2 linked regions of the Styela clava genome follow. The protein of the gene in region 1 interacts with the protein of each later gene in a pairwise test. Links are inferred from orthologs where the notes say so. Each region holds a gene or a part of one and is shown on either strand. Other genes may lie near its edges. The genes, in order: proteasome subunit alpha type-7-like and trafficking protein particle complex subunit 13-like.

Region 1 (16,475 bases):
CATGATAATTTGCAACATCCACTGCAGGGGTCGGCAACCTTTTGTCGCACGCGGGCCAAAATTAAGGGTTGCGAGTCATTGGCGGGCCGCACATATCTTTAGAAAGTTGAAACCGAACGGATTATTCCTTTTATAATAAAAATTAAGCAGTGATACATCTCTCGAATAGAATATAGATTTATTTCCTCATTGCATCTCAAAAAATTCCATTTGAATATTTTCAGCGCCATTGAACTCTTTGCACTTAGCATAAACTTTTCTGCGTTTTGTTGCCATTTGTCTAATTATAATTAAATTGTAGGCTCATTAAACGAATAATTGTGAATTATATACATGTTAGGTTATAATATAATTTAAAATATATAATCGCCAAAACGGCTGTTTTGTTACTATAATTCAGTGAAGCGTCACGGGCCGGATTATAATACTCTGCGGGCCGGATGCGGCCCAGGGGCCGTAGGTTGCCGACCCCTGATCTACGGCATTACTATTATCTTTTTCCAAAATTAAAATATTTTGTTGAAGTAGGTGAGCTGGCAAAGGCCAAATTTCAAGTGAAGTTCGTACGCTGGAACATTTTAGCATAAGAGTAATGACATGCTTTTTGAGAATTTGCGTAACTTATCAAGCTTTCAAACATTTCCGTAATCCTTTGCAAAGCAGGTAATAAAGAGAGAAACCGAGTGTTGCCATGCTGTAACAGCCGTTGATATTCAATATCAACAAAATCGCAGAATGGTTTCTGCTCTGTTACTCGGACAGTGTAAATGTAAAAATATTTATACATTTTGACAACAACACAAATAGGCAAAGTATCTACGGCATGTTGAAAAGGGTATCGCAGTGCAGTATTGAACTACATGAGCCGCACAATCTATACCGGTTATATTTCTTTTAGTTTGAAAAAAAAGCATTATTTGTTTTTCGTCTTTTTACGCCTCCAAAGTTGATGTTGCAGTTATCCGCACAGAATCCAACAACTTTTCCCTTTAAATGACTTTGATCGAGAACAGAGAGCAAGTATCCAGTAAAAGTTTTGGCGGTTTCCCCGGGTAGAGATTTGAATTCTAATAGTTTTATCTTCACACCAACATCAGGTAAAAATTAACGAACCACAACTGGAACAAGCCCTATATCTTTTCTGTTTGAGGCATCGAGGGTTACTGAAAACTGGTTTAAAGTAAATCATCATTGGGTTCAGAGGAGAACAGCGGAGCAATGCAATTAAAAATCACCGACTCTCATTTATTTCTGGGTAAACGTGCAAAATCAGTGAATCCTCTTATCAGACAGCGGACATCAGAAATTCTAACTATGTTTATTTACAAGTTAATGCAAACTTAGGCTAAAAAAATTTGAAATCAATTTAGAGGTGCAGTTAAAACTTTGGTCATGAATAGCAGTGTGATAGGTAAATGTCGGCTGCCAACGACACAGAATCATCCGAATTTGTTATCGCAAAGAAATTGGTCGGTCGAGTCGATGCCTCAATTAGTGTTTTGTGCTTCCTGCTTTGGATATGATCGTTGAAATCTGAACGACCGTCATGACTAACAGAAAAACAGATCTGCAACGCGTACAGTGTACCTTTCTTCCTTCAGTTTGCTTCAGATAAGGAAAATCTTTCTTCAACTCATTAGAAAATTTGTACTTTCTTTATGGCATTTCGACAACTTAACGGTATTGTAATAACGCCAGAAAACGCATTAAAACATATACCAATTGTGACATAACAATAGAGCAATTTCACTTTCTCTGAACTAGCGAAGTGTGTCGCAAAACAGTGGTAAATGGGCTGCCAACGTTAAAAAAAATTTGTATTAATAATGAATATATATATGAATATTTTAACCTTGACAGCCGTGCTGACAAACCGGGACATTTGAGTGAACCGGCCGGTACGCTGGGACAGCTTGTCAAATCCGGGACTGTCCCGGCTAAACCGGGACGTATGGTAAGCCTACATCTGAACCCAGATAATTAAATCTTAAGTTCACAGACTGAGATTTCAGTTGACGTACAACTTTGTTCAGGGAAATAATATCTCTGACTTTGGCTTGTGGTAGTGTTGGAAGCATAGCCGATGCTTCAAATGCTAAGTCTGGTCTTGTCTGATTCGCGGTCCATAGAATTTGTCGAATCAGTGATCTCATCGATTTACGATCGCTTTCTGTGATGCTTGCTTTTTTTTGGTATTTCATTTGAACATTCATCTCCGATACCACAAATCACCAGTCTTGCTTTGGAGATTATACCATCAGGTGTATTTTTAAGAGTACATACCCATCTGGTGGACAAAGTTTTTGCCCTTCATTATATACCTGATTTTTTTCCAACTATCAAGCACCTTATGCTTTGCTTCTAATAAGAAAATATATGACGTTATTAAAGATTCTCCTTCGAGGAGAATTACTATTTAATACCCCATTTTCAGCTTCATCCACGACTTCAGTTGGGACTTGTTCAGATATAACAAATAAATTCTGTACTTTATCAAAATCAAAGGAAGAATTTTGACCTGCTTTAACATCGGGCTTGAACACTTTAACATTATACTAGTTCTTATATTTTCCCGTGACTTTTCCAGCACGTCCCAGAATTTCTGCTTCTTGCATGGATTCATCATCAGGAATGAAGAAACGCACCATCTGTCCCTTCTTGAAATTCACAACAGATTTATTATCGGTTATTCTAGGATAGAATTTTGGTTATCCATGTTAGTCTCATCATCATGTAGGTAATTGTTTGGTGTGCTAGAGTCAGGTTCTCAGTTTGTCATAATACTTAGGCAAAAATTTTGTATTATCAGGATTCGATTGTTGTAAATCACAATAAATTTGTTCACAAACTTTTATTAATCTGCATCTGCGTACTCTTACAACTATAGCTCCATGTCGTACGAAACCCAAAGATTAATCACAACCAATATCATGCCCAGGTCCTTTCATTTCAATGAATCTTCCCTTTTATAATACACTTTATCACCTAAATCTTCTTCAAAACATCTCACCTGTTTCCGCAAAGCACGTCGGATACGTTCACTGCTTTATGCTTCAACGGAAAGCCCGTCTTGCAACATGTATGAAATTGATGTCAGATAGAATTTGACTCATTTGCTTATTCTGTATTGCAGGTATTTTATCAATCATAACAGATGGTTAGTGGGGATTTTTGTCAAACACGAGTTGATATGGACTATCCATATACATTATGAAGTGATTTTTTGGCTGACAATGCCCAGCTAAGGGCAGTTTCCCATCTACCCGTTCGCTGTTTTTGATCTTTAGCAAAATCTCGGTCAATGTGTGATTATGTCTTTCTACCATCCCATTGCTCCATGGACTTTGAGCAGGCGCAGTACTAACTTCAATACCAAAACATGCTGCCATATCTCGAAATTCTGCACTGTTAAATTCACCCCCATTTTCACTTTGAACATTTGGAGGAGCACCATAAACACCAATCCATGTGGTCATGAATTTTCAAACAATGGTAATGGTCGATTTTGTGCGAATAACACATGCTGCTGATAAACGAGAAAACATATCAATAACATGAAAATACCACAAACCTGATACAATCTCATGCAAATCCAATGCAACACTGTCATTGAAATCTCTAGCCATTGGAAGTTCTACTACTGGTCTTGGAGGGGATTTTGTTCTTCTCGTGCACACGTCATATACCTCTCTCAAAACCCCAAAAACATGTTTTTCCGATACCCCAGAATTAATCAAAAAAGATTTTAATTTATCATACGATGCATGGCCAAATTGCTTGTGTAGTGTGAACAAATCTTTTCTTAGACAAGTTTGCATTGATCGCCAAAATTGTATGTGGACCATCTTTAGATAAATTCTTTTCTCCCCTGGGCAAGAGATTAACATAATAGTGACTTTTTGCGCCTGCAAGTGATTTGACTGGTTTTCCAAACATCTCAGTTATACCCAAATCAATAATCGTTTTTGCTTCTTTTGAGGATGTTTTACCAAGAAGATGAGGTAGCTTTGTTTTGTAACTTCACATGCAATGTTACGAAAAATATCAGTTATTTCAACCGGTAATATCACTTTGTACAATGCTTTTTTGACAATTTTCCCCATCACCAAATACGAGTGATGCATCACTGTTCAAATATTTCACTTTCTTTATCATGTGGGGGGTGAGCCTGTTGATATAATTAGATAACCATTTAGCACCACATACCGTCCTGCTACATGCAGTGTCAATGATTACACATCCCACATTATTGGCAACAAAGACATCAAAATCGACATATTTTGCTATAAAAGTTGTACTCACATCATCTTTTTCTTCAGTAATTCTGGCCTTATCTTTGTGTGGGCAATCTCTGACCCAGTGAAAGCTTGAACCACAAATAACACATTTTGTAATTGTGCCATCTCTTCTTCTGGGGTTTGTGCCTCTTTCTCTGCGTCTTTTTCTTCGATTATTGTTTGGTGTCATTTTCTTTGATGTACTGCTTAGTTCTGCAACACAGTTGGCTCAGTCTTTACAGCAACCACAGTATTAACTTTATTAAAAGTACTTCCAAATATTCTCCGTAAGGAAGCTTTAACGATGTTATATTCAAGTTTACTAGATGCTGTCAATATGAGCTGACGTTCTTGTTGAGAAAGAGCAGCACTCTCAAGTCGTTTGTAGGCTTGAATGGAGTTTGGTAACTGCATGTCATGTTTCCTCACCTCGTTATATAAATGTTCAAACTTCACAATATAATCTTGAATGCTTTGATCTGAACATCTTTCAAGTGTTTCAAGAACACGGTATGCTCCATAGGCTCGATCTACACTGTCTCTTTTGAAAGCACCATCCAGTTTATTGAAAAAAGTTTCCATCCCCTCTTCTTTATTCAAGTCAGTAGCGCATATTTCAAGGGCAGCACTCCTTGCTTTCCCTTTTAGACAAAGTGTTACTGCAAGTGACTGCTTGCCTGCATCCAAATGTGTCACAAGTTTCCATATTGCTATTTCATTACTGCACTGCTCATAAACTCGGGAGGGTTCTTGTACCCATTAACAGAAGTCATTTTTAAGCCTCTGCTACCATTGATAAGTCAAATAAAAGTTTATTATTAAAGTAAACAACCCTCAGATGGAGCACATGCTCAATATAGCATCAGGAACAGACTGTCCTTTTACAACTGAATGAACACTATTTGTACAAGTGACCAATGGAGCATGCAATGACATAATAACATGACAGTAATGATTACTGTAAACAAAAACATGGAAAACTATTGAACTATCACTAATTCATAGTGATTGTGTAAAACTCTTGAAACCTTGATTTTAGCATTTCAGCATCGGCATGGTCCTTCTCTACCACTTTCAATATTCAGCTATTGTTGCTCCATAATACTCCAACGCTGCGAGATTGCGCCCTTCAACGAATCAATTATATCAGCCAGTTGAGTAAATAATGCACTGTTGTTTCGAATTAGTAATAGTGGCTTCTTGACGACCAATAAAGCTCTGTAAAGAAAATATATAATAACCAGCGACTGTTTTGATTTAAATAATTCTTCGCGGCGGATCTTTTTAAAGACAAAAAATGATGTTTGAATGGTTCCTAAAGATCTATAATTTTTACAACCACATTGTCTAATGTAGTCCCCCGCGTTAGCGTGTGAGTAGGAAGAACTGTTTACTGATTAGGTGCAGAATTGCTAGCCTCAAGAAAGAAGGAATAAAGTTCATTATCTGTTTCGAGTCCTCATAAGAGAATACGCACCCTAACTTCAACTTTAGAGCTGATAACCAAAGAAAAAAAAATTCACTTCGTTGTGGTTGGACGCATCAACGGATAGTAAAATTAGTCAATGCAAACTACAGTTCTCGCACTGTGCCCAGTTTATACCAGGAAATACTTGGATATTAAGATTTTATTTTCTGTTACTAATCAACAACCTATCATGCCATTACGTCAAACCGGAATCCTACCAGTACCAGTATTTCAAATTTGTGTCCAACATCTACACAATAGATGTGTAGCGTACCGGCAGTCTATGGAATAATTATCCAAGTCAGAATATCTTCCAATATGATCTGACGTCAATTTTCCCTCAATATTCACTTCAATTTATGCTATTTTATTCATTTATTAATTATCGATCTTAATACAACCAAATACTACAAAGCAACGGAAAGCATATAATAAAAACAAGAGAGCTGTGCTCAAATATATGGACACGTTAACCAGAGCGAAGCAGTATTTACCTTTGACGGTTCCCGTACATTTGAACCCACGTACATTTGAACCCACGACAATTGCACCTGCATACTATTGCACCTATGGAAATTATTTTTTGTTTTGTGGATATTTGAATCCATACCAACCCTAACCCATGGGTTTTAGAACCTGCATATAGATTGAACTCGCGAATATACACATGGGTTCAAATGTACGTGGGTTCAAATGTACGGTCACCACCTTTGTCGCCACCGGTACCCACAAAAAATTCCGAGTTTCGCGTAGAAATAATTTACAGAATCAACCCGGACAGCCAGTGTTCCCATGGATAAAATAATACAGCGAAATTTTAGACGAAATATCAGATTTCATGCGAAATTTAGAAATAAATAAATAGCCTTCTGGCAAAAAAATCAATCTTTACTCACTGAAAATTTCAAAGCAATTGGTCCAGTATTCGAAGAGAAAAGCGATTTTTTAAAAATGATGGAGACAAATAATAACAATAACAACATAATATTGAAACGATCGTTATGTCCACTAAATGTGTCCAATAACAATACCAGCCAGCACAATGCAGGAAAAACCATATACACATTAAAAAAACACTGACGGACCCTGAAATCAAAGACACTCTGATTAGAAGCCAAATGACCCCTAGAATCCGGTACATTAAACTAGCTATTACAATTTGCTACCCAAAAGAACGATCGACAGTGTTACAGCGCACCCAGTGTCTTCAGTGCCAAAATACCAAATATGGAAACAACATCAAATGACATCATTTAACAGATAAAACAAGGGTCGTCACAGATGTAAGGCTTTAAATTGAACGTACCATTGTCTAGCTGAATTTTAATTTGTTGAAATAAGCAACTCACTTACCAGAAATGAAAAAGAAAACAACGTCCGTAGCCCTTCGATCAACGTGAGTAACAACGATTTATCGAATAGCACGACAAAGTAACTGAGCAAGAGCGATACAGATCAGTTTCAGACCTCCTAGATAAGTGGTCCAATGTTATGGACCGAAAGGTTGAATTTGAAATTTCGCGCGAACCACTGCAGCGTGAGGTATTTCTTTTGAAGTCTGCTAGACCGGTTCCAGTGGACATGTAATCACTATTGGCCGTAGACTTTGTTCTAGCACTTGCAAATTTTTAACAATGTCTGAATCAGGCAAGATCGTTTTGATGAGTTGCATGGTCAATTGTTGGAAAGAAATGATTGCTGGTGCCCAAGCACCCTCGGAAGTCGATACCCTTGTGGTCTACTTTAGTTGGAAACGTTCTGCTTGTAAAAAAAAAGTCTTCATACCTTGGTTTCCCGCAATCCTTAGTGCAAAATTGTTGTGTTTTGCCGTAGTATTGTGGGCACTAATTGCTGTTACCCCACCTCTAGGTTGATATAGCTGTCATAGTGGGCATAGCTCTTACTCTTTCGACTTTGTCTGACAGAATAGCAAATTCTTCTTTATATTCGTAACGGAACTCGTGCTTACGTTTACCCATTGTCTAAATTATAGTTTTTCCCCAAAAGCAGTAGGCCTATCTCTTAAACTAGCAGTACCGGTAACTGTGTTACAGTTTGCCTGAAAATACCTCAACCCTACCCTCAACAGAAACAGGCCGTTCTGAAAGAGAGAGCGAGACCGAGACATGAAGTCGCTGTGGAGCGTGGGCAAGTTTAAGTGAATGAAGCAGTTGAACGTTTTGAATATAAAAGTTAAACAGGCTGTAAACACAAAATCAATTATTAATTCTCGTCTCGTGCTTCAGCAATTTTGTCTCCACTTGAACTCAAGGTAGAAATAAATGCATCGCTTACACATATACAAACTTGAAAAAGGTTTGAATAGGCTGCAGATTCGATTTTATGAAGCTCACGGTGAAGATGAATGATTATGTTATTGATTGAAAAAGTAAGAAATACTGTATTTTTAAGTGCCGCTAGACGTCATCGTTTACTACGTTATGTTGTGAACATTCTTGAAGTACCTCATTCGGTTAGTGAAGCTTGTTACCCTATATAATTTTACCCTAAAATATTACAAAAATAAGCACATTTCATACAATCATCGTCGTGCCAAATCGTAGAATCGCAAAAACATTGTTGCTCACGCATGATTTGGCTTCAACCTGAAAGCCAAACAATAGCACACGTTCAATAGAATTGGGCAGGAGATAGCCTACAAGAGGTTCATGATCCAACAAAAACAACGCTCCAGATGTTAAGGCAGTGTAGACAATCTGATTTTTTATAAGCATTTCTTCCTCAATATTATATTTTTTCATATGTCGCCAATGTTAAGATCATACAAGCAATCAATAATTATTTGAAAACAACTCAGAAATATCCAAAATCCTACTTGCTTTTTCGATTTGAATTATATTCTAGATTCTTGAATATGAGGAAAGGTAAAATTGATATATTGGTGTATTATCGTAAAACACAAAATTTGATAGTTTGGTTAGTTTTTTTTTCGCGTACCACGTTAACGTTCATTTTATGTTAAAACATCAATTTTAAACAATGATTACTCACAAAATTATTCTTATAAATGTGATTTATCTATTTACATATTCGCTTGTATTTCAATTTTGGACCTCCTGAAGTATGCGCACCAAGATGGCGCAAAACCTGAACTCAGGTTGTGTACCAGGTGAGGGTTCAGGTCGTGCGACATCTTGGTGCGCATACCTCAGGGGCACCTTAATTTTTCTAATCTGTTTGTGATAAATCTATTGCAACTCAAAGTTGTAAAACATAAAAATGACAAAACGTTCACACTGCATTGAAAACAGCTATGTTAGTTTGCAAGAATTAGGTTAGATTTTTCCTAAAAAAATTTTTCTTAACAACAACAAGACTAACAACAACGATTTAGCAAAATAGTAGCTAATGTTATTTTACACATAATTCGAAGATTGTATGATGAATGGATAAGAACCCAAATCCGTTAATATATTTTGCATTCATCAGCATTGTTGGATAGTTTTGTGTTTAAAGTAATTTTATAATTTTACACACAATCAAGAATAGGTTGATTCGTTTTCTGATTGTAGAAATGTGCTGGACATCCCGGACACGGAACTCGACAATGAGCTCCAGGATATTTTGGACAAGTAGTACCAAGGCATCCTCTGCTACAACGGTCAATCAAGTTTATTCCAGGCTGACAAGTTGCTAGAATAAAAATAAAAATACTTCGTAATATGTATTAACAATTACTCTGCATCTGTTTTGATGCAAGCAGTATTTGAGGTAGATCTTCATATTTTAAATATCATCTTTGAACATTATTATATTGCAAAAAAATAGGTATAATATGATCTAAGAAAGAAATATTTATATCTTGCTATTTCTGGACAAGCCATTAATAAAAATTATTTTTTTATCCGAAATTTGTGTTTTTTCTCGAAATAATGATGTCAAAAGAGTTGATTTTGAGATTTCTGACATTGAAATCACCAAACCTTGTGTTACCACGAATACGAATATAATATAATAGTTCCAGGTTAATGTAAATGTATTTTTGTATTCAAATGTATTTTTCAAATTTACCGCTGCTCTCTAATGAAACAAGGTTCTATTATTCAGATGATATGAATAAAAAACTAAGATTTGAAAAAAACTTAGAATACGGAGTGCATTTTAACTACCTTGTCTTTTGCATGGTACTCTTCGTCCAAATCTATCGAAAAACTGCAAATAGCATATTGGCCCACAACCGTACACACGACACTCAGCTTGTGGGAAGTTTGCACATCCAACTCCGTTGCACATATATCCACCACACCTTGGGTTTGGTGGACTATTCGGTGGACAATCACCTGAGTATTACAGAAAAAAAACATGAGGAAATTATAAACTTGAAATATATTTTGTTTGATAGAGCATTATTGTTTCAGAATTTCTACACAAAAAGGTGGACTGATTTCAGTAATGCAATCAATGTTCATGTAAAGAATCATATAAAATGTTCCATGGTAGACCGCAAAATAAATAAATGCAAATGACAAAAGAAAAATCATGAATAATCCAATACGATAAAGATATTTGGAAAATAAAAATACTAACATTGGCTTGCAATATCCTGTCTGAGATTGGATGGATTAAAGAAATGTTTTTTACATCCATTACAACTTGTTCTGCACACCGCATTGAGAAACGTTGGACAACTTGTTCTGATACATGCGTTAACGTAACAACTTGGACATACAGGCCTATATACCGGACGCGGTTGTCTGTTTGCACCGGCAAGCAAAAGAGCAAGGACTGTTCTTTTATTCAGATCTGAAATGATTTTAAATGATATAAAATGAGGTTTGAAATATATGTTGTATTAATTTTATGTTAAATTTAAAAGAATAAACATCTTATAAACTAATATTAAAACATTTTAAACGCATTGTGAAATACATGGTTGTGGTGTTTTGAAAATTTGATTTGATGTTCAGAAATCTTCCATCGATTGCACCAACTGCTACAAAATTATTTTTACTCACTTAGCAATGGCTTTTTAGGATCGTCCTTAATTTTTTTACATGTTAGTCCGCATGGACTCTTACAACAAACTTCCGATTCTTCGCAATCAGAATTTGTTTCACAATTATCCACGCAAATTATTGGTGCCATAGCATCGTCACATTTTGGATCGAAAACTAAAAAGCAATGAATATGTCAATATCAACTAGACAGATATGTTTATAGATTTCATTAATCGAATGTCAAATAGAAACTCTAGCATCTGTTATTAGCGGATAATATTTGATAAAATAAAATATTGAGTGTTTTTAATGAGTCGTGTCGTCATGCAAGTTGACATTAATTGACAATTGAAATAGGATGACAATTGAGTCTATTAATTGCAAATTATGGTGATATATCCGATAGAATATAAATAAAAAATTTTGTATGTGTAATCTTTCATACCCTGTTGAAAAAGTACTTTTATTTCAAATTGTACTCAATAACAGAAGGACTTACGTTTGCATTCTGGAACTGGACTTGACCATCGTCCATTAGCCCGACATGTTATTTCATCTTCTCCGTAAAGTGTCAAAGGAAAATTGCATTTGAAACTGAACATATAAATGCGATATTTGGCAAAATGTTTTAACGCCTCTTCGGAATAGTAAGTAAATTCAGTAGAATGTAACATGCAAAAATAAAAACTATCTTCCCATAAGTAAATCGAAACATATATACTGACGTGCATTCACTTGAATACTCCCATTCGTCTGAACAATCAACAATCCCACCTTCTAACGATAATGCTGGGCAGTAGACGTCTAAATACAAGATTTATTTGTTATATTACACAAAGTCAATATATAGCCAGAAGCAAAATATCGATAGTCGACACATCTATATACGACATCTCACCCCAAAAAGCATACACCATTTTACCTAAACATGTTGGTTCAATATCATCCCACATTGCATCTTTTTGGCAAGTTAATGTTTCTGATCCCTTCAATTCGTAGCCATCGAAGCATATGAAACTGAAACAAGGCATAATTCGAAATAACAAGAACCTGGCGCGTTTGAATTACGATTCCCTGATTGTATTCAACAATTTTAGTAAGTCGCTCCTAATTTCAAATTTAAGTTTTATATATTTGAATCACTTTCATGCAGAAAATGCATTGTGGGTTTGTCGAAATTTTCGGCCTAGCCACATGTGACTGAGCAAGAAGCATGGGGAGTCGCTGATTACATTTTTGATTGCTAAATTGTTATCCTACGAGGCGATGAATCCCGATTATAAGACTTAAGTTATATTACTATTTCTACACTAGCACCAGAATTGTATTAGAGTATTACTATTTCAGTATTCAAAACCTTTGACTCAATTGAAAAAATACCTGCAAGTACTCGGGTAACCGAAACCGGGAGGATTGCAAGTCATTTTTCCAGGTTGATTGTTGAAATCAAGGTCGGAACAAATAATTCCTGAAATACGAAACTATGTTTAACAATTTTCTTGACGAGATAATTCAATTGTTTTGTACCTGGTGATATAACTACTCACTTGAACATTCGAGAGCAGGAACACCCCACTGTCCATCAGCCATGCACTGGGATTGCGCATTTTTCACTTTGTAACCCAAATTGCAGATGGCGCTGAAAGCATACAACTCATGGAATAAATAATTTCAATGTATTGTTATGTATCGTACCATAATTAGGCTATCGCCAAGTTGCATGAACTAAACAACTATGAGTTGTTCCAGTTTCATATATGGCAATCGAACACTGTGTGTCCCTGAAATGACTACCACTATATATCAGTGTCGCTCGCGAGCAACATTTGATCTATGAGTACCACTACGTATAGCGTAGCAGAAATGATTCAGACGTACACTTGGTAAACATCATTTTTGTCACGCCGTTTCAATAGTTGTCGTCGATTTTTTATTTGATTAACAAGAATTGTCCTTGTTTTAATTTGTGTTAAAGCAAAAAATGAATTATTATTCCACCTTTGAAAGTATTATAATGCCGCTACCGTTGATATTACAGAATCGGAGTTTTTTTATAGCAGATATCGTAATTGACGTTTATGCCGGTAGGGCACACCGCATTTTGAATTTTGTTGTCTACCTGAGACTGAGTTGGCGTGAACAAGAACAACTTTTTGCTTCTTGACGACGATATGTGAAAACTACCATCTAGAAAGATAGTTCTTCCAAAACGAAGATGAGAGGGAAGAATATGACAATAAATACTGGGCTGTTATTTCTGACGTGACTGAATTGGTATTGGTTTATCTCAAAAAAATAAATAAAAATGGTACTCCAGTAGTATGTGAACCAAGATGGCGGACACCGGAACTTGTATGTGTACCAGGTTAGGCCATAATTTTATTCTAATTTTAGTTCTATTACGAGTTCGGGGACTAGCCAAGTCTCTCCCGTAGTATTTGTACCTAGAATTATAGCCCAATCCTCACCTGGTATTCACATACCACGTTCCGCTGTCCGCCATCTTGGTTCACATACTACGAGAGTACCAAAAAAATGAATAACTAGTTAGACTCACAAGCATGTTTTTTGATATGTTGTACCATCACACATAGACTGCCCGTTTAGAACATCTGGATACGATCCGCAGTCAACAGCTGAAAAAACAACGTAGTTTAGTTAGATCATGGAAACGTAGATGATATCAATGATATTCAATTTAATTATAGGTTTATGAAAATGGATTCTTACGTTGACATGACGTTGGCATACTTCCAGACCAATCTTGATCCGCCTCACAAGTCATTGTCAATCCTTGTACGTCAGGCTCGTAACCAGAAGGGCACTCAAAACTACAAAAATAAAGAAATTGACATACCATTAAGAATAATATCATTTTCAAAAATAAAGAAAATTCAAATGCAAATATTTGCAGTTACTAAAATAGGTAAATTTAAAGACTCTTTTATCAATAAAAAAAAAAAAAAAGTAAATTGACATGCGCAACCTCACATCTGAATATTAAAACTATGGCGCAAACGAACATGTAGAAAGCAGAGCAACAAGAATGATTTAGATCTTCAAACAAGTTTGAAAAGCACCCGTATCGAAGGCATTTACATAGTAAAATATTTTCCCGTTACCTGCATACAGTGCCGTAAACAATTGAGTCCGATGGATTGCAAACAACGGATCCAGCAGGAAAAGTTAGCAACGAGCACATTAGAGCTGAATAAAAAGCATATATATATGGTGGGAATAATGGTGGGGGGAAAAATTGAAAGCAGAAACAATTTATATATTTTCTCATCCATAAATATCTGATCAATAAAAATGTTTGGTCTCGATCAAATTAAGTTCGGCTAAAAATAAAACGTTTAATATAATGACCGTATAAAGTTCAAATATAAATAATGATATCATAAACTTTAACTGCACTGTTTTGGAAATGATTTCTTGTATATTATATTTTAAGCGGATGGTATAAAACTCACCTCCACAAACTGGCATGATTCCAGACCATTGCCCATCTGCTTGACAAAATCTTATAACATCACCCGATATTTTTGCTTTACCCAAAGGACAGGAAAAACTAGAAACAAAAGACGTTTTTAACAATATTTCCAATATTAGGTTTATAATCGTAATGATTTAATGAGGTCAAGTATGTGTGTAAATAATCTCAAGATTTATCCATTACCCTGTGCAAACTTCAATTGGCATCCAACATAGTTTCTCATTTCAGCTGCTTACTTCTAATGGATTTGTTTAATAAAAATTGCATATTATGCGGTTTTAAATAAAATCATTGAAATAGAAACAGAAGAAATTAAAATGAATAACAGGAAATCATATTACATTGGGAACTGTCATTTGCGATATTTTTTTTTATCAAAAACGCAGTTTAACACGAAAATTGAACCTACACGCAAGCTGTATCGAATTCAATGCTATTTTCTGGTATGCATTCGATTGTTCCTTCGAAAGAAAGCTCAGAGCAAGTGACAACTGAAATAAATAAATAATTAAAGATTTTGAACTAAGATTAAAGATAGCTACCCGGTATAATACAAACAATCGAGCTCAAACATCCAGTATTCAAAATTGATTTCGAAACCTTCAAGATTCAAAAATATTTATCCTCCGTTATTGACAGAAAATATTTAAAACATTTACCCTAGAGACAAACTGTTTACTCTTATTTGATTAAATTAAAATATTACATTAATTTTCTATTATATGCATTTAAATTGGACCATTAGATGAAAAGGCAATTTATTAAATTAATCAAATCGCAGCATTGTAATTAGTGTATTCGGTGTGGGCCTTTGCATAGTATTCACAAGGTTACTTTTTTGTATAAGTTATATATCGTACTTTTGCAAAACTGCTCTGCTTGTCCGGACCATAAACCATTCTCCTCACAACGTCTTGATGTTTGACCTTCTAGCGTATATCCCGAATCGCATTCGAAACTCAAAAAAATACCATTTGTTATCAAAATATATTTTAATGACAAAAAACTTGATTCAGATCTATTTTTTTTTCAATAGGACTTGGATGAAATATCACAAACAAATGCCGATAGGGCAACAAAAACACCATCTACCGCACTCCTCAAGTATTCGAGTAGTGCTGTTTCCACGTTACAACAACGGCCTGAAACTTTCATTTGCAATATGATTGCCAAATCGTGTAAATATCGTTCAAAAGTTTTGAAACTTATGTTTTTCCTCACATTATCACAGAGGGGAACAAAATTATTTCACTATCGCAAATATCATACACCAGGACTTCCCAAACTAGGGACCGTGGCCCTGGAAGGGCCCAAAAAACGAATTTTCGGGGCCGCAAAGAGAACACCAAATTTACACAAGGTACTATATTTATTATACTTTTTCAGACTCTTGATTCGAAATACAATCATTAAAAATAGTGTAAAACAAAGATTTCACGATTCCGAGCGAATACATCATCATGCCGTGTTTCCCCGAAAATAAGACAGTGTCTTCAATTTTCTTCCGAAAATAACACTAGGGCCTATTTTGGGGGGAAGTAGAGAATAATGATATTTTTTAATATACAAAATATGAATCCCAATTTTCATTTACTTATATATAGCACGTTTTGATTATAATAACTATGGTAGAAAACCCTGCTTTATATAAATACGAAATCGCAAATGGTATAGGAGTGCGCAACGATTCTTGAACCAAGGAAAAATATTCTTTATCCACTGAAAACCGAATTTTCAGAATTAAACTTTTTCATTATAACACCATCACAGGCAAGATCAATTTAATCTTCCCCTTTTTCAGTAAAAGTAGAAGATATGGGTTGGTTGAAATATTCACGAATCGCGAAATTTTACGACACCCTAGCAAAATTGAAACGACGAACTTCCACGGGACTAGTTAAAAAAAATTTGCGCTATCGACCAAGTCTTTTTTATAGGGGAGAGCTTATATTAAAATAATTTTTAAAATTCAGGCTTGGTCTTATTTTTGGGGAAACGCGGTAGAATCATCGCGCTCGCATTAAATGCATATTTTAATCGTAAGACCGGATTTGCGCGTGCTTGCAGAACAATGCCGGCTTCAATCATTAAGCTAGCGGTTCCCGGAGGCGATTTGCCAAGTGCGCCTCGAAACATTTCACATATTTTTTTTATTGTAAATGTTTTATTGTTTCTCATTGTTGCAAATGATAAGAATGATCAAATTCATTTTACCGTTCTATGTTGTTTACTTTCTGTTACGTATAGGGTCTATTGTAACGTAACAGAAGAGGTAA
Region 2 (15,365 bases), on another chromosome or scaffold:
TATGTCTTTTTTTATCGCCTTTATGCTGACTATGGCATGGAGTCGAACCAAATAGACAAAACGTTTATTTCGTCGTGCAAGAAATAGCAACAAAAATTTACAACAGATAAAAAATTATGCATTACAGTAACGGATTTCATTGCAATTGACAGAAAGTCGCGAAGGACCAGAAATGGTCATCATAAGTCAGCGACACCTAGATTTAAGACGAGTCAAAAGTAAAAATTGCCATAAAAGGAAGCAATGGATAATAAGAGAAATTTAGTCATACAAATAAACAGGGAATGATATATATAAATCTTCATATACGGTAGCATTTGTGAGAAAGAAAAAAAAATTTAATTCGGGAAAATTCATTTAGTACATTTAAGTTTTAAAATTAGTTCACCACATTATATGATTTACACCTGAATGACATTACTTACGACCGAGCGCATCCAAACTTATAAAATCAAATAGCCAGGCAATTAAGAATGTTATCATCGTGGACCGTGGTCGTTGAACAGAAACATGCTCCCTGTGCCCTACCCATTGCCGAGCTAACCACAGGCGGCTTGAAAAGATTAGTAATTAAACCAGTGTATTACAACCCCTAGGCCACGGACCCAAATGAGTCTGTAGACATATTGGATACATTGATCATTTTTTATAAAAATAAACAATAATATTAAAAGTAATTAATATAAATAACAACAATAAGAATCGCATTTCTCTTAATTTCTATCGTATCAGTTTGCAAAACCTCCATCATTTGTTTACAACAATTGACCTTCTTGAGTGCGCGCTGCTATTGTGCAATAACATAGGTTTATTCATGTACGTTTTACTGATCATCCCAATTTATCTCACATTATTATGTCCGCAGATTGCCGTGATATTTTATTGTAATGGTTTTATTTTGTCGTAAGTCGACGCAACCGCGAATTACGTTGGGTACAATTAAATTATTGAAGAACGACATTTTGAATTCTGGTAGTTGTCATGAATTGAATATCACGCGACAGAAAAAGTCATTGAACGCCGAAAACGTTTGATCGCAGCGACCTTTTCAGAAGCCATTGCATGGGAATTCCCGATTCCAGCATCTTGTGTCTCAGAGCACCAAACTGTAGTGAACCTTGAACTCCAGAAAGTTGATAATTGGCTCAGAGCAAATAAATTATCCCCGAATTATTCCAAAACAAAATCTATGTTGTTCTATATATAATATAAAACACCTTGTTACCAATTTTAGAGTAGGCGTTGGCAAATGGCAATAATACAATTTAACAAACTAAAATCATTAAATATTTGAGAGTCACAATTAATTGGGAAATGAGTTGGAAACCACATACAGCCCAGTTATTCAAGAAATTATCGCAAACTCTTGGAATATTTTACAGATTAAGGCACTCCAAAACACTTAATTAGTATATATATTTCAGTTTATTTTACTCTCGTTTACAATATGGCTTACTTAGTTGGGGTTCAGCATCAAGGTCTTCCTTACAGTCAATACAAATTCTGCGCAAGTTTTAGGATGAATGGCATTCGCAGAGAAAAGTCGTGTAACTAATTTGCAGCTTAACTATCAGTATGAAATCCTACAGCTGTCGGATATAGTGCTTAGTCTTTAAGGACTATTTCACCCCATTACAAAAAGCACCGTACAAGGTCTCAAATAAACGAAGATTATTTTACTCCGCAAGTGTCCACTGAGGTGAAAGAACGTCTTTGAAGTATATGAGTGTATAGGCTTGGGGCAATGTTCCATCTGAAACCCAATAAAGTTATCCGCATGTTTTCAATAGGAAACTGAAATTTTTTTCCACTGAAAAAGGCTTACCCAAATTTGTCTACTTAATTAATACTTTAATTATATTAATATGCTTTTATAGTAAATGTGCCGAACCTTGTATTATAATACTATAAATTCAACTGCTTCGCATATTAAAACTGTATATTGAACGTCTTAATCCTCTTCCAACTTTTGTTATAAGTATAATTGAATGGTTTTTTTTTCGTCTTTTTTGACACATAACGATGTTTATTATTATTGTTTAATTCGAAAGCCATTGATAATAATACCTCCTATCTTTTTAATATTGTTAATCTGATTGCCTCGTTATTTTTCTCTTATATTTGAGTCGGTAGCTACTTGTCCAACAATATTTAATTCCAAAAACTAAATTAACAACCTATTATAAATATTTGTAAAATTTGAACTAAGCTCTTGATAATTGTCGAGACTCCAAAACTTCACGTGCCCAATTAACATCACGACTTGCATTATTAACTTTAATATATTTTATTGCTGCCTCAGTATATATTTACGCTACTATTTAGATGTACTGGTATAAGCGTTGGATTTCACTTTAGCGCCACTGGTGCACATCTGGGGACAATGAATGAATCTGAGGACGCTCGTTGTTGCCAGTTTATTATATTTTATCTTTTGTTAAAATCAACCAAATAAGAAATATTAGTTAAGTATGAATTGTGTATATTAAAGTTACATTTAGAATTGTGACATTAATAATATTGAATTTCAAAGAACTGAGGAAATAGATAAATTATATATTTTCATTGATCTCTTTGATCATAATATGTATTCGAAGTTGGCAACATTATGTATCAATATTATTTTCGTTTTTCCCGCGTTACGATTTCCCGTTTAGAGATTCCGCTCTGGCGACAGTCCAGTCAGCTGTGCTTATTCCGCCGCTTTCCTTTCCAGTTTATTTTAAAGTTGTTGTTCTCATTTCACAAGCCTTGATATTGAAACGACGCATGCAATTGAACGATGGCTAAAGTTCAAATTGTGAACGTGGAGGTATTAGATAATCCATCGTTGTTTTTCAATCCTTTCCAATTTCAAATAACTTTCGATTGCATTGAAAATCTTTCTGATGGTGAGTATAAAACGTAGGTCTAATGTTTGATATTACTGTACCATGTACAGATGGATAACAATATTATTATTGCAAATGGCTGTATGATCTCGCTCTACTGCCAAATTGTCAATAACATATGGCTGTATGGTATCAGTCGATGATTGGCAAGTTAGCGCACCTTGCAACCCTCAGACAATGTTTAACTCAAAATTTTGTGCATGCAGTCCAGGGATTGCTGAACTCGTTTTGTCATGGCTTTTGCAGGGTAGTAGGATAAGTTTTAAAAGACTCCTAGTGCTGTAGTGCAATAAGTCACTAGCACTACGGTACTATACAAATATTTTCTGCTTTCTATCACTGTTTGATGGTTTTGAAATTACCTGTTACGTCTGAACATATACTGCAGTACTGGCAGACTGGTATAAGAGGATAAGCTCCAACAAAAAAGTAGCCGGGAATTATTAAACAGGCTGCTCGGAGTGAAAGCTTCCTGATATATTTTCTTAATATTTCTATTCATAGATTTGGAGTGGAAAATCATATATGTGGGATCTGCTGAAAGTGAACAACATGACCAAGAGTTGGATTCTGTGCTAGTTGGTCCAGTCCCTAGCGGACGGCATAAGTTTGTTTTCCAGGTTTGCTATATATGTTATATACTAATATGATCGCTAGGTGAAATTAAAACATCCATCCACTAAAGAACATTGCCACATGTGAAGAGAAATGTCAATTTGAGCTAGTTTATAGAACTATTAAAATGTTACTTACTACTATTATATGGTTACTGAATTAGGGAGCTACCTTTTGCTAACATTAACTAATTTTTACCAGGCCGATCCTCCAAAAACTGAATTGATACCAGTGCAGGATGCTGTGGGTGTGACGGTTGTAATAATAACATGTACTTATCACACTAAGGAATTTATTCGAGTTGGTTACTACGTAAACAATGAATATGATGACTTGGAGCTCCGAGAAAATCCCCCTGAGAGCCCAGACTTTAGCAAGGTAAGATTTCATCAACGGTCGTTGACGACATTCTGAGCATTGTTTCTCACTGTATATTCGAACAACGCTAATGAGTAATATGCCATATTTCAATAGTAATAAATATATATTTTTTCTTTCGCCAGCTCACAAGGAATATACTAGACAGCAAGCCCAGAGTAACAAGATTTAAAATAAACTGGGACAATAATGATGAAGAACTTGTCGCTGATGAGAATATTCCTCCGGATACAGACTTTGCTAACAGTTTAAATCACGATAATTCATCTGCATTATCGAGCTGCAATTCCAAAGCACCATTCGGACAGATATCAGGCAATGTGGCTGGCGAAGTTACGAGTAATGACAAATTTTGTAATCCCCCGTATGAAAATAGTACGGACTCCATGGACATGCGGATGTTTGTAGAATGAATCAAGTATATTGCACATTATTCCTTTCAATCGGGAGGTCGCTGCATGAAGAATCTAGATGGAGGATCATTTTGCGACCGCATGGACAAGAATGTGATGAATGTAGTCAAACTCGTATGTCCTGTCAATTTCTATGTCCGTTATCCGCAAGCCCGACACACCCTGTATAATAATTAGTTTTGATATATTAACGATTTTCTATTTTTCTTTTGAAAGCACAAGATACTGTTGTAATAAAGTTACCATTCATTAGTCGCTCTGCTATTTCGTAACAGGACTTGTGTATTGGCAGTAATTGCAAAGTTTATTATTTACTGTTGCACATACCAGTAATCCTGGTGTTATAGGAAGTAGATCAAAATCGACCGAGGTCGAACACTTTGGTTCCAATTTCTTCAAATTAAATCCAGATATTCCCTTCCACAAAATATTTGTTTGATTCTCAAACGATACTGATAAATTTTTTGGTCTTTCACTGGGAATAGAAGTAAAACATCAGATATAAAAACTAGCTCAGGAGGCTATTATCCTCAGTAGTAACAAATTTGTTATGTTGTTATAACAAATTTTGATATTACTGACTATATCATTGCGACAAATGATGAAAAGTTCGTTATTGAAGTCAATTTTCACTGAACAACAACGGTGTTTTGGATATAAAGAACCAAAGAATGCAATTTTGACTTAGGATCTGTAATACCTCTTGGTGGTTCATCTATGACTATATGTGATGATCATATTGAAAATTAACATAACATACAGTAAATATGTCCAGTCGTGTGTAATTTTATAATAACAATTACAACATCAACTTACCTGCAATTAGTTACTTGACATGACATTTTGAATGAATCCATTGCCACAACTTCACTTGGCACACTCTTCACATCTATCCTTATGTCAGAGTGGCTAATAGGCTGAAATGAAATCAGCATGTGAAGAATGAGACATATGTTATTTTACACCAAAATAGGAGGCTCCTTTTCTGAACTTGTTGTACCGTGGATTTGATTAAATATATCTCTTTTTTATTATTAATATTTAAAATTGAGGAAATAGCTAGGAGTTGTAAAAGATGGTGCATCGACCAGCACAGCTTAAAGAAAACTGCTCTTGGTCCTCCTAACCATGTATTATCGACTGAGCATTCTCACTTTCTAATTATTCATAAAACTTCCTAAATTTGTTTTGTACATGTTCAACAAATCTCACCGGTCTTTGAAGTTGACTAGTTTGAAGTCTTCCTCTTTCGCCAAGTGCAGTCTTCCATACAATGTCAAGCTTGCCAATCGCTGATGGTGCCTTGTCAAAAGCTTTGGATATGCTACCAGGTTTCATAATGAGTTGATATAAATATTGCCTTGTGTCCTTCGGCTTGAGGTATGGTTGACTCTCATAGGTGCTGAAATATATGATAATTGCCATGTTGCAAGGGATTTTTAGAAGCGAGGTGATTAATTCAACTCTTCATAAGTATTCAATAATGAAAATATTGGGATTGAGGAAAAAACTTTTACCGAACCCTATAAAACACAGGGAACCATGACATGTTTTATGTTCCCCAGCTGAAAAGCACTGTGATATACATAATTTACATATCACATCAAATAAGCCCAGAAAGTTGTTGGCACAGAAAAAAAAATCTTACCTTTGATCGTCAATGGTGTTGAGAGGCATTGTAGTATAAAGAGATGATGGTTCAAAACTAACTTTCTCAATACACATTGCACTGTTTGTAATGTTCTGGATTTGAGCTTCAAGGAAAACTTCATGAGGCTAGCAATAAAATTTCAATAACAATATCAGTTTTAATCTTGGTGAATTTTCTGTAATAGCTCAAATTCTTTTTATAGTACCAATGGAAGTTTTGGACATAATTAATCACTTTTAATTGAACAATATACACATCACTTCTGCTATATTTTTATGAAACTAATATAAAAATATTATATTCAAACCTCAGTATTATAAAATTTTGTTTTGACATCCAATGGCTTCAATACTTGAAACTTGAAGAATTTTCGGAAAAAATTTTGCACACCTGCATTTTTATATGAAACACTGCAAACCAATCTGAAATAAATAGGATTTCATAATTCATCAGCATCAAATGATGTGTTTCGTTTAAATTCTTTTTCCATCTCTGTATATATTTCCTTTTTTGTACAAAAAAACAATCAACTATAGTACCAGAATCTCAGCAAATCCGTGAAATAAACTAAGTGTGTGTGGTATTTCAATATAGGGAATTAAATTCACAAAATTCCAGTACATGTGAGTTCCAAGCTCCTTTACTTCATGTCTCATGACATCATCAATGGAATTTTCAGGCGATAAAACGTCTCGTGAGGCAGGCTGCGTTAAGCTAATTCTCTGCGAGCCAGTTTGCAGATCTGCCTATAAAAAAACAACGATCAATTTGAATATTATCACAATTCAAATATTACTGAACAATGAACATCTTCGGAAAAATTCAAAACTATTGCCTTGAATTTTTGTAGTAAAGGGAGTACTTTAATTGAGGCAATATTATAATTCAGGTGAATTTTTTTGCTGCATACAATTCTCAAGGCAGATGGTTACTCCCTTTATTAATATATGAAGCCCTTAGGGTTATAAATGTATAATATATAAAAAACCTTGACAACGACATCTGTTGCTTCCTGTGTACTATCATTATGTACACTGATGTAACTGACGAATGTTTCACCCAGAAAAATATTTCCAAAGCTTTGTGGAAGTGACAACAGTTGTTCTGAAACAAAATTGCACTTGATGTGAATAATAGTTGACATTAAATAAATTTGCCTGGACGAAGCAAATGCACATCTACACAATGAGCCACTGACTGCCAAGAGTAAATAATATTGTTGACTGGCCTTTAAACAATGTACTATGCAACAAGAAAGATATTCCAGGGAGGAAGAAATAAATTTGCATAGAATATCAAATCAAGCATGCTTACCTGTGCATAATCCAGATCCCAAATCTCCAATCTTGTTTGATGAATTTGTATCTTCAACATGTGATAGTGAGATAGGCATCAACATTGAAGGTTTTGTCAACCTCATAACTGAAACATAACAAAATTTGACACATGATGAATTTCATAACAATAAATGAAAAATAGATAATAAAATGTAGCCACCTGAATTGGCTACTTTTTCTCAACTGTAAAGCCAACCCATGAGTGCCGCAAAACATGTCACATATTAGTTACTTAGAGATAATGAAGCTGAATACCTCGTCCAAAAGAAACAAATTTTGCACACAATACCAGAATATTATAAGTTTATACACGGCAAGTAAAAAAAGATCAGAAACCCTCTAGCTGGTTAAATTTCAAGAGATTGTGAGATTACACAGCTTATTTCTGTAGTTGGAGAAGCATTGAAAATTTTGTATTGATTGAAGGATTAAAGAAAGAATGCTTATATAGCTGTACAACTGGCGGCGGTGTGGCTCAACGGGCTAAGCGCTAGGAATCACTCGCCACCGCACCTCTAATTACAGAATTACTCTGCGTGGGTTCGCAGGTTCGAATCCCATGCGGGGATGTTTATGTGCGAGAGGATTGCTGGACTCCTCGCCGTCGTTGGGTGGTTCACATAACCGCTGGTCGGTTACGGCTACCTCCACCAGCAAGTCCATGCTTCCGAAAACGAACAATATAACTAATCCCATACCAGACTTGGAATGGTAACCGGACGAGAGGCCATGGTTCGCCATATGGATAAGCCGTCTTATCGGCGTTCCTCTTCCCCGAGATAAATATGTAAACCCTAACTGTATATTGGGTAACACTTTCGCTGTTGGATGTTTATGAGACTGCTAGTCATGTATGGCTGTACAGGTAAACTCGAGTATGATTAGATCACATATTGCTGTATTGGTTGACTTATGTACCAAATTATCCCCTGCACGGGATTCGAAACTGTAAACTCATGCATGATAATCTGAGGTGTAGTGGCAAAAAGTGTTGCGGTGCACCACACCGCTGTTCGAGTCAGCAAGTAGACTAGACAAGTTCTACTGCAGTACTGTGTTTCTTATCCTCCTTGCCGAGGCAGCAACAATGCCCTTCTGTCAGTGGAAAGTAACGTGTAACAGTATCTAAACATTTTTGACTACCGATTCATAAAACCAGAAAAGTTCAGTCAACATTACCTCTCAGTGCCAGAATGTGTTCTTTATCCATTGCAACTTATCTGAGATAGGCTATCTCCCATCGGCTAAACGATCTGATTCCAAGTTTGCTACCAAACTGCACACCTTAGAATGAATCAGAGATGGAATTTACCACAGCCAATATGCTGATAAAACACTCAATTTTTTTTTTTTTTTATAGATAAAATAATAATATAAATCATAACATACAGATGAGACAGTATAAATTCCATAACAAATATTGATCACTTGTATCCATATTGTAGCATACCGGTATCCATTGTAAATCCCATTTGTTGTCATCATCAATTATATGTTCCATGATGCCATTTACCATTATTTTAATTAATGCATGAAAAAGAAAATCTTAAGAATTAGTTCCACTTCATTACGATAAACACTTCTAGTCATATTTATATATATTTGCATAATAAATCAAGTTCTTCACAATAATTAGGTAAATTTCTCAGTCCTGTAGTCGTTCTATATTTCTCCTACACTTTATTGAATTTCTTATATTATTGACTACATTATTCACTCTTGGCATTACATTTTCAAAAATCACTCAATTTAACACTCACTCTATTTTATTATTATATAAAACACTCAATTTAACAGAAAGTTGGACTGCTTGGGCCTTCGACATCGATAGTTGGACAACAATCATCTATGGCCACTAGCTATGAACAATTTTTATTTATTAGTTTTTATTAATTATTTTATCATATGTTAGTCGTTGTCTGTTATGCTGATTATAGAGTCGAAATAAACCTATACTTATTATCAGAAGTCTTTCACTTTCAAAAACGGGGTTGATTGAAATCATAATAGAAATGTAGTGAGGCACAAATAAAAATCAGTAGAACATCATATTGTTTTCACGAGTAATCTATATAAGTTAGGCGTTGGGGATATGTTCGCCACCGCGTGGGTACGAATCCTGCGGAGGATAATTATGTGCGAGAGGATTGCTAGTTCACGTAACCTTCCTACAACTCCCTCCGCCATCAAGTTCATGCATTTGCAACAAATATATGACTAACCAATTCCATACTCGACATAGACTGGTAACCAGACAAGAGGCAGTGATTCGCCATATGATTCAGCCGTCTTTAATATGTAAATACTATCCTATCCTACTAGGGTGGAATCCAGATGAAAGCAATTAACAGCATATTCACATGTGCGAAAAAAGTAACGAACATGACAGTCAAGAATGTAGCTTGATTAAAAATCTGAGCAAGTGATTTTCATTATTAAAATTCCTGTTAGAACAAGAGTCCAATTTATCTAATAGGGAATTAAATATTGACGCGAGACTTGAAGCAGTTTATTGTATGTTTTTAAGTTTGTATGTTGGTTTGATGACAGCATATTTGCACCCGTAAACTGCACCCATGACGCACCTGTATTTATATATATTTGCATCTATGAATATTTGCACCCACGTACAATTGCACTAGCGAACATTAGCACCCTCGAACAATTTCATTTATGGACATTTCCACGCATAGACATTTGTAATTGTATCCATGTATAGTTGCACCTGTGCTCATTTTCACCTTTGGATATTTGCACCCGCAGCCATTTTCACGCGCGATTATTCTTGTTTTAGGCAAAGTTATATTTTCTCATTATTAAATATATTTATTAGGAATTAAGACAGATTACATATTGTAATTGCACTCATGGCTACTTTCACAATCTTTTTTCACTGTCACCACGCGTTATAATTCTATCGATACTAAAATATATTGACACGAAAGCAAAAAACGTAATACGGGTATGCAATCTGCCACAATAGACTACGCCACTACGGTACCTGACCACTAAAGAGAAAGCGGATCCGTCACGAGGCAATTTTAAATCCCATAGAGCGCACAGTGAATTTAGGACTAAATAAAAGTAAAAGCCTTCTAGAAAAACATACAACCTTTAACCACCAAAAATTTCAAAAGCACATGGCCCGTAAATGAGAAAAGCGATACTTGCATTTGTCATTTCCTACCCCCCTTGCCTACGTCATTCAAAGAAATATGTCACCGCGACCTCAAAACCACGTCAATACGAGAAGGATATCTTGCTGGCTAGTGAGTTCATTGTCGCAGACGCCAGTGAGCGCGATCGTCGCTATACTTTGACAAGCTCTATTACGTGATTGTGACGTACATATTGTCAAAAAACGGACGGCTTATCGAGTGAACCTATTAAACAAACATCCGGCGTTTTTCTTATCATTTGAAATGAATAATTTTATTATCACCAAAAAAGGAACTTTGCCTCGAATTTCAGTTATTAAAATTTATAAAGTATTTGGTTTTTACAGCAAAAAGCTCAACGTACTTGAATTGTATTTTCTATATACCAATTGTCTTTTAAACTGTCAACTGATCAGTGTTGAAGAGACCCAAGTCAGTGAGTCATTCACGGTTGCCTATGAAAGCCACTATAATTTGTTAACTCGAAAGAGCAGCGATTCGGTATGAGGCTCAGGAGTCTATTTAGTGAATAGACTTGATGTAAAACTGAATTTTTAAAACTTGTTGGGACTCTGACCTCACTCGAGACTCCAATGGCCCTTGAGTGGCGAAACACGACTCGGAGATTGTGGACTTGTACCGGACACTGGAATTGACTCAAGCTTAACTAAACGTTGGGACCCATTTGATTTCAGCAATAATTTAACTACCATGAACAAATTTTATTGTATATCATTTTAATTTTAATCGACACAAAAAATAACTTGTTTTAAAATTCTGAATCCCATCACTAATCCTCTTCCACTTTTGCCTATGGCAGTTATCTTCTTTTAACGAAAAACCGCGAGCGCATTACATCAGATTTACGGTAGCGTCTGATTAGTTGGCCACAAATAAAGTCATTACTTCAGAGTTAGCGTATTGCACAAGAGAAGCGTCAATAAGGGGAAAAACGTAGAGGAAGGTGGGCCTAGGCCAGGGGTGGGCAACCTTTTAAAACAAAAATACACAATAATAAACCTTCTAAACATGTAAGCTACGGACAGATTCACTATTCGGGAAAATATCAGCCCGGCAAATAGATTTGATCACTTTTCTTATTCTATATAAGTGAGATTTCTGCTGCTGCATTACCGTTGCTAAAGATTTACATTGGAATTATATTTTGTAACTTTCAAAGAAATATACGAGAGACTACTGGTTATATTTCTTTCGAAATAAATTTATTTCAGTAAGTTAGCAAATAACTCTAACCAACATGAGCTGTACAACTTCATAAATCAATCAGAAATGAAGAAAAATGGTGTCACAGACTATATATATAACTATATATTACGTAACAATGAACCACCAATGAATGCTGTGTCCCATCACAATTCATCAAGAGCTAACTCATTTGTTACGTCATAATATATTTCTTTGTAGCTATATGTCATGAAAAGACAAAAAGAGTTTAAAATTTTAAATGAATAACAGATTGTTAACAAACGATAATGAATAAACAAACACCGAGTTTCATCAGATAAATCAGAGCCTCGAAACTTTTTATCTGAAAGAGAATGATCTCGTTTCTGAGGCTTCGCTCGCGTGCCGAATAAATGGGTTGCCCACCCCTGGCCTAGGCCCCAGGGGCACAGTGGAAAATCAGCTCTCACACTCATACTATATCCGGAATCCGGTCTGCGGTTGGATGTTTGAATCCGCCCTTCTGTTAGTTACAACGTCTCCGCAAATGGACAACGGCCTTGTGCAGGGGTTCCCAACCTTTTTATCTCAATTTCCCACTTCCAATTAGGCTGAGTTGGTATTTCCCATTAGATATGGACTTGTTTTAAAAAGACTAATTTCCTTGTCAATAATAATTGGTATGTCTTTCTATAATAAAGGCTTGCAATTGGTGTAGAGGTTGAAATCTCGTGAAAATATTTATTCCGCCGTCTAGCATCCCAAGACAGTGACGATCCGTTTAAAGAAAATCAGTGTTATCTATCGAATAGAGAAATTCAACGCTTAAAATTACAAAAAACGCATCAAAGTTTACATTACATTACACCGTTCATATCAATTCTGCTGTTTTTTTTATATGGTAGACCGGAAGTCTATCTTTGAAAATTCGCATTGCTATTGGACAAGGAGATCCGTTCATTTTTGGCGCGCAGACTTACTCGGCAGAATACCATCACACTCCACGAGACAAAGTTTTATTTATGTCCCACCGATGTTATGGAATTTTTGGTTCTTGCTATTCAGAGGACATCTATATTTAGATAAGCCATTACCTTTTATTAACAATTTGGCAGAATGGGGGGACGGGTCAAATATTTGTTCGCCTACCCAATACTTCTGAGACATTTGAATAAAAACTGTTCTTTTTTGCGCCTCTGCGACGAAAATCTTCTTGCGTAATGTTCAAAGCTATTGGTGCTCGTTTGAGGCATGCCTTCGAGGTTGTTATCGGCCGACCAAAGATCAAAATGAGTTGCGTAGCACGATCAGAATATCATGTCCAACAACGTGATATTTTACTAAAGTTTTGATTAATTGAATAGGAATCTTTTTCCGCTTCATGGCATATGTTGTGATTTTCATTGTGTAATATTTAATAATTGTGTTGTTGTGCGTACATTTTGAGAGGAGCATTAAATTTCCCACCTGCAACCTCCAAATTTCCCACTAGTGGGAAATTTCCCACCGGTTGGGAACCACTGTTGTAGAGCGACGCAAGCTATGAAGTGAAATTGGTTTTAGCGGGTTGAAAGTTTGAAACTAAAATTTCACTTTTCCAGTTTTTTCTCTTTTCTGCTATAGCCTTTTCAATATGAAAAACCACCGTCTGATATTTTTCAGATTTAGTCCACTGTACAATAATATTCATAACGTTGACGAGTGAATGTTCGTTACTAATCTCGCCGTGGGACAGTCTGAAAATATTTGTTTCCTATGGGGAACAATAGCCGGGGTTCACTGGGACATGTTTACGGAATTCTTTGAAAAAAATATTTTGGTTGAACATTGATTACAAAAATATTAAATATCGAAATTTGAAGTCCCCCTGTTCTTCGGACGATTATTTACTTATTTTTAAGGGCATACTTCGTTGAATTGAACAGAATGTGCGCCAGGGTTTGTCCGAATGTGCCCAACAAGGTGAAAAGGTGGGACGCTTGACAAAGGTTTTTCAAGGCATGTTGGTGGTAGGATGTGTGTCTCAAGGAAATTTCTTAGTCGCCGAATAAAAACCACATTCACCACGCTCTGTATTAGTCCAGCAAAGTGAAATGAATGTGTAGTAGAATAAACGGCTCAAAATCTGCAACAACAAAAAATGTCCCAACCTTTCAAACTTTTCCCTACATAAGCATAAAACGAGCAACGATCTTGACTTGGTGTAAGCAAGCTTTATGTCGAGCAAGTTGTTTGATCTATTTTTCCCACGTGTTATTTTTACGTCGAAATGATGTCAACTGTTACTTGCTGTTTTTCATTTGGTTAGCGATTTTGACTATACTAGGTTGATGAATGAAAATCTGAGTTCGCATTCATTACAAGTCATAACAATGGGATGTCCGTCTCTCGGCGTCAAATATCAATAAAATATATTTTGCTGCGAATGTACAAGGAATGTTGGTCGGTGCAATCTAAATGAAGGTGCTAATATCTCTTGGTGAAAATATCGGTTGTGCAGAAGTATGCAGGCGCAAACATACGTGGGTGCAGAGTTAATGAAACCGCTGATGGTACCGTTCAGTAATTCTAAGAAAGTCCCTAATTCAAACAACTTGACATTGTTAATTTTGAGTATTAGTCGTTATCTTCACGTGTTTTGAATTGAAATCACTAAATTTGGATCACTTCTTGAAAACATAGTACCAGAACGGTCTCATGATCAAAGATATATTTGTTGTGTTTACAATGGTGAAAATTCCCGCCTGTTTTATATCTAAGTGTTTCACATCTTCAAATTTTATAAAGTAAAATACACCCTCTTAGCCTCCTAACAGGCCGAATGTTAATCTCATGTAATTTGCAGTTCGCGATGTTGGTTGATTAACTGCCAAAGCTTTTTAAAATATTCTTTTAAATTTTGCATGTTATTTTTTTACTGGATGGAAAAAATAAACTTGACCATGACTATCGCTTGGTTTTTGCGCTTTCGCCTACGTAAACCCTATGACCTATCCTATATGGTTGTTTTAGAAGAAATCGGTGCATAGGGGAACATTTAGTTTTAAGTGATCATAGTTTTTTTGTGCTTCTGTCTTTATCAAATATTTATATTATCTTTCCCACGGCATAGCTCCACATATTAAGCTCCCACCTATAACCCACCCCAAATGCGGGAGACAACTGTTCAAATCCAAGGGCTTGCTACTTAGATTTTGTAATGTCATAAAGCTTAGACGCCTACGAAAGGGAGAGATTGGTAAGTCTACATCGTCGAACTTGCCAAATAGGCAGTTTCTATAGTTGACAGAACCGCCCGATCAGTGAAACGGATCTGACTTGGTCATGGAAAAGCAATTAGCAAGATCAGCGGCGCGATATGCGATTAACGCCCATATTTTATTTTAACAGCAATCCCTGAGGCGTTCGGCTCCATTACGCATGCATGGCGAATGTTGTTCGCCGTCTCTCCAGGCCATAATGGTGCGCATGCCTGCGCGATCGATCACTTTTGGTCGCACAAGCTATTGTTCACGTCTGAAGTCGGTTTGTTTTCATTTCGTTGGTCCTGAGGTTGCGATGTATTTCGGAAGCGCTTCTCGGACTTTCTTCGTTTGTCATACCCTGCTGGAATCATTCAGCCTTAGTGATAGACCGCGTCACTGATTTTGAGTAAAGCTGACTATAAGACGACAGAGCAGGTTGGTCGTGAATAGGAAATAAGTATTCAAGGCCTACGCAGTATATTTATAACGTAT

The links.
Region 2: the proteins of proteasome subunit alpha type-7-like (region 1) and trafficking protein particle complex subunit 13-like interact in a two-hybrid assay, tested with the Caenorhabditis elegans proteins (3 studies listed by BioGRID). The link is inferred for Styela clava from reciprocal best matches to the Caenorhabditis elegans genes pas-4 and C56C10.7.

What each region holds. Positions count from the first base shown.
Region 1 is NC_135262.1:13,591,552-13,608,026, forward strand, and holds the start of proteasome subunit alpha type-7-like, read right to left. Parts: upstream 6,152-16,475; 5' UTR 6,136-6,151; intron 1-6,135. Other genes in the region: P-selectin-like, read right to left, coding at 9,236-9,399, 9,876-10,046, 10,294-10,509, 10,722-10,877, 11,203-11,297, 11,429-11,507, 11,626-11,720, 12,084-12,171 and 7 more. UniProt on the Caenorhabditis elegans protein: The proteasome is a multicatalytic proteinase complex which is characterized by its ability to cleave peptides with Arg, Phe, Tyr, Leu, and Glu adjacent to the leaving group at neutral or slightly basic pH.
Region 2 is NC_135251.1:30,089,449-30,104,813, forward strand, and holds trafficking protein particle complex subunit 13-like, read right to left. Parts: upstream 8,662-15,365; 5' UTR 8,496-8,661; coding exon 8,465-8,495; intron 7,371-8,464; coding exon 7,263-7,370; intron 7,053-7,262; coding exon 6,937-7,052; intron 6,695-6,936; coding exon 6,570-6,694; intron 6,371-6,569; coding exon 6,256-6,370; intron 6,074-6,255; coding exon 5,946-6,073; intron 5,700-5,945; coding exon 5,510-5,699; intron 5,215-5,509; coding exon 5,114-5,214; intron 4,773-5,113; coding exon 4,625-4,772; intron 4,550-4,624; exon of another isoform or gene 4,460-4,549; coding exon 4,364-4,459; 3' UTR 4,302-4,363; downstream 1-4,301. Other genes in the region: histone chaperone ASF1B-like, read left to right, coding at 2,783-2,891, 3,396-3,511, 3,708-3,884, 4,010-4,297.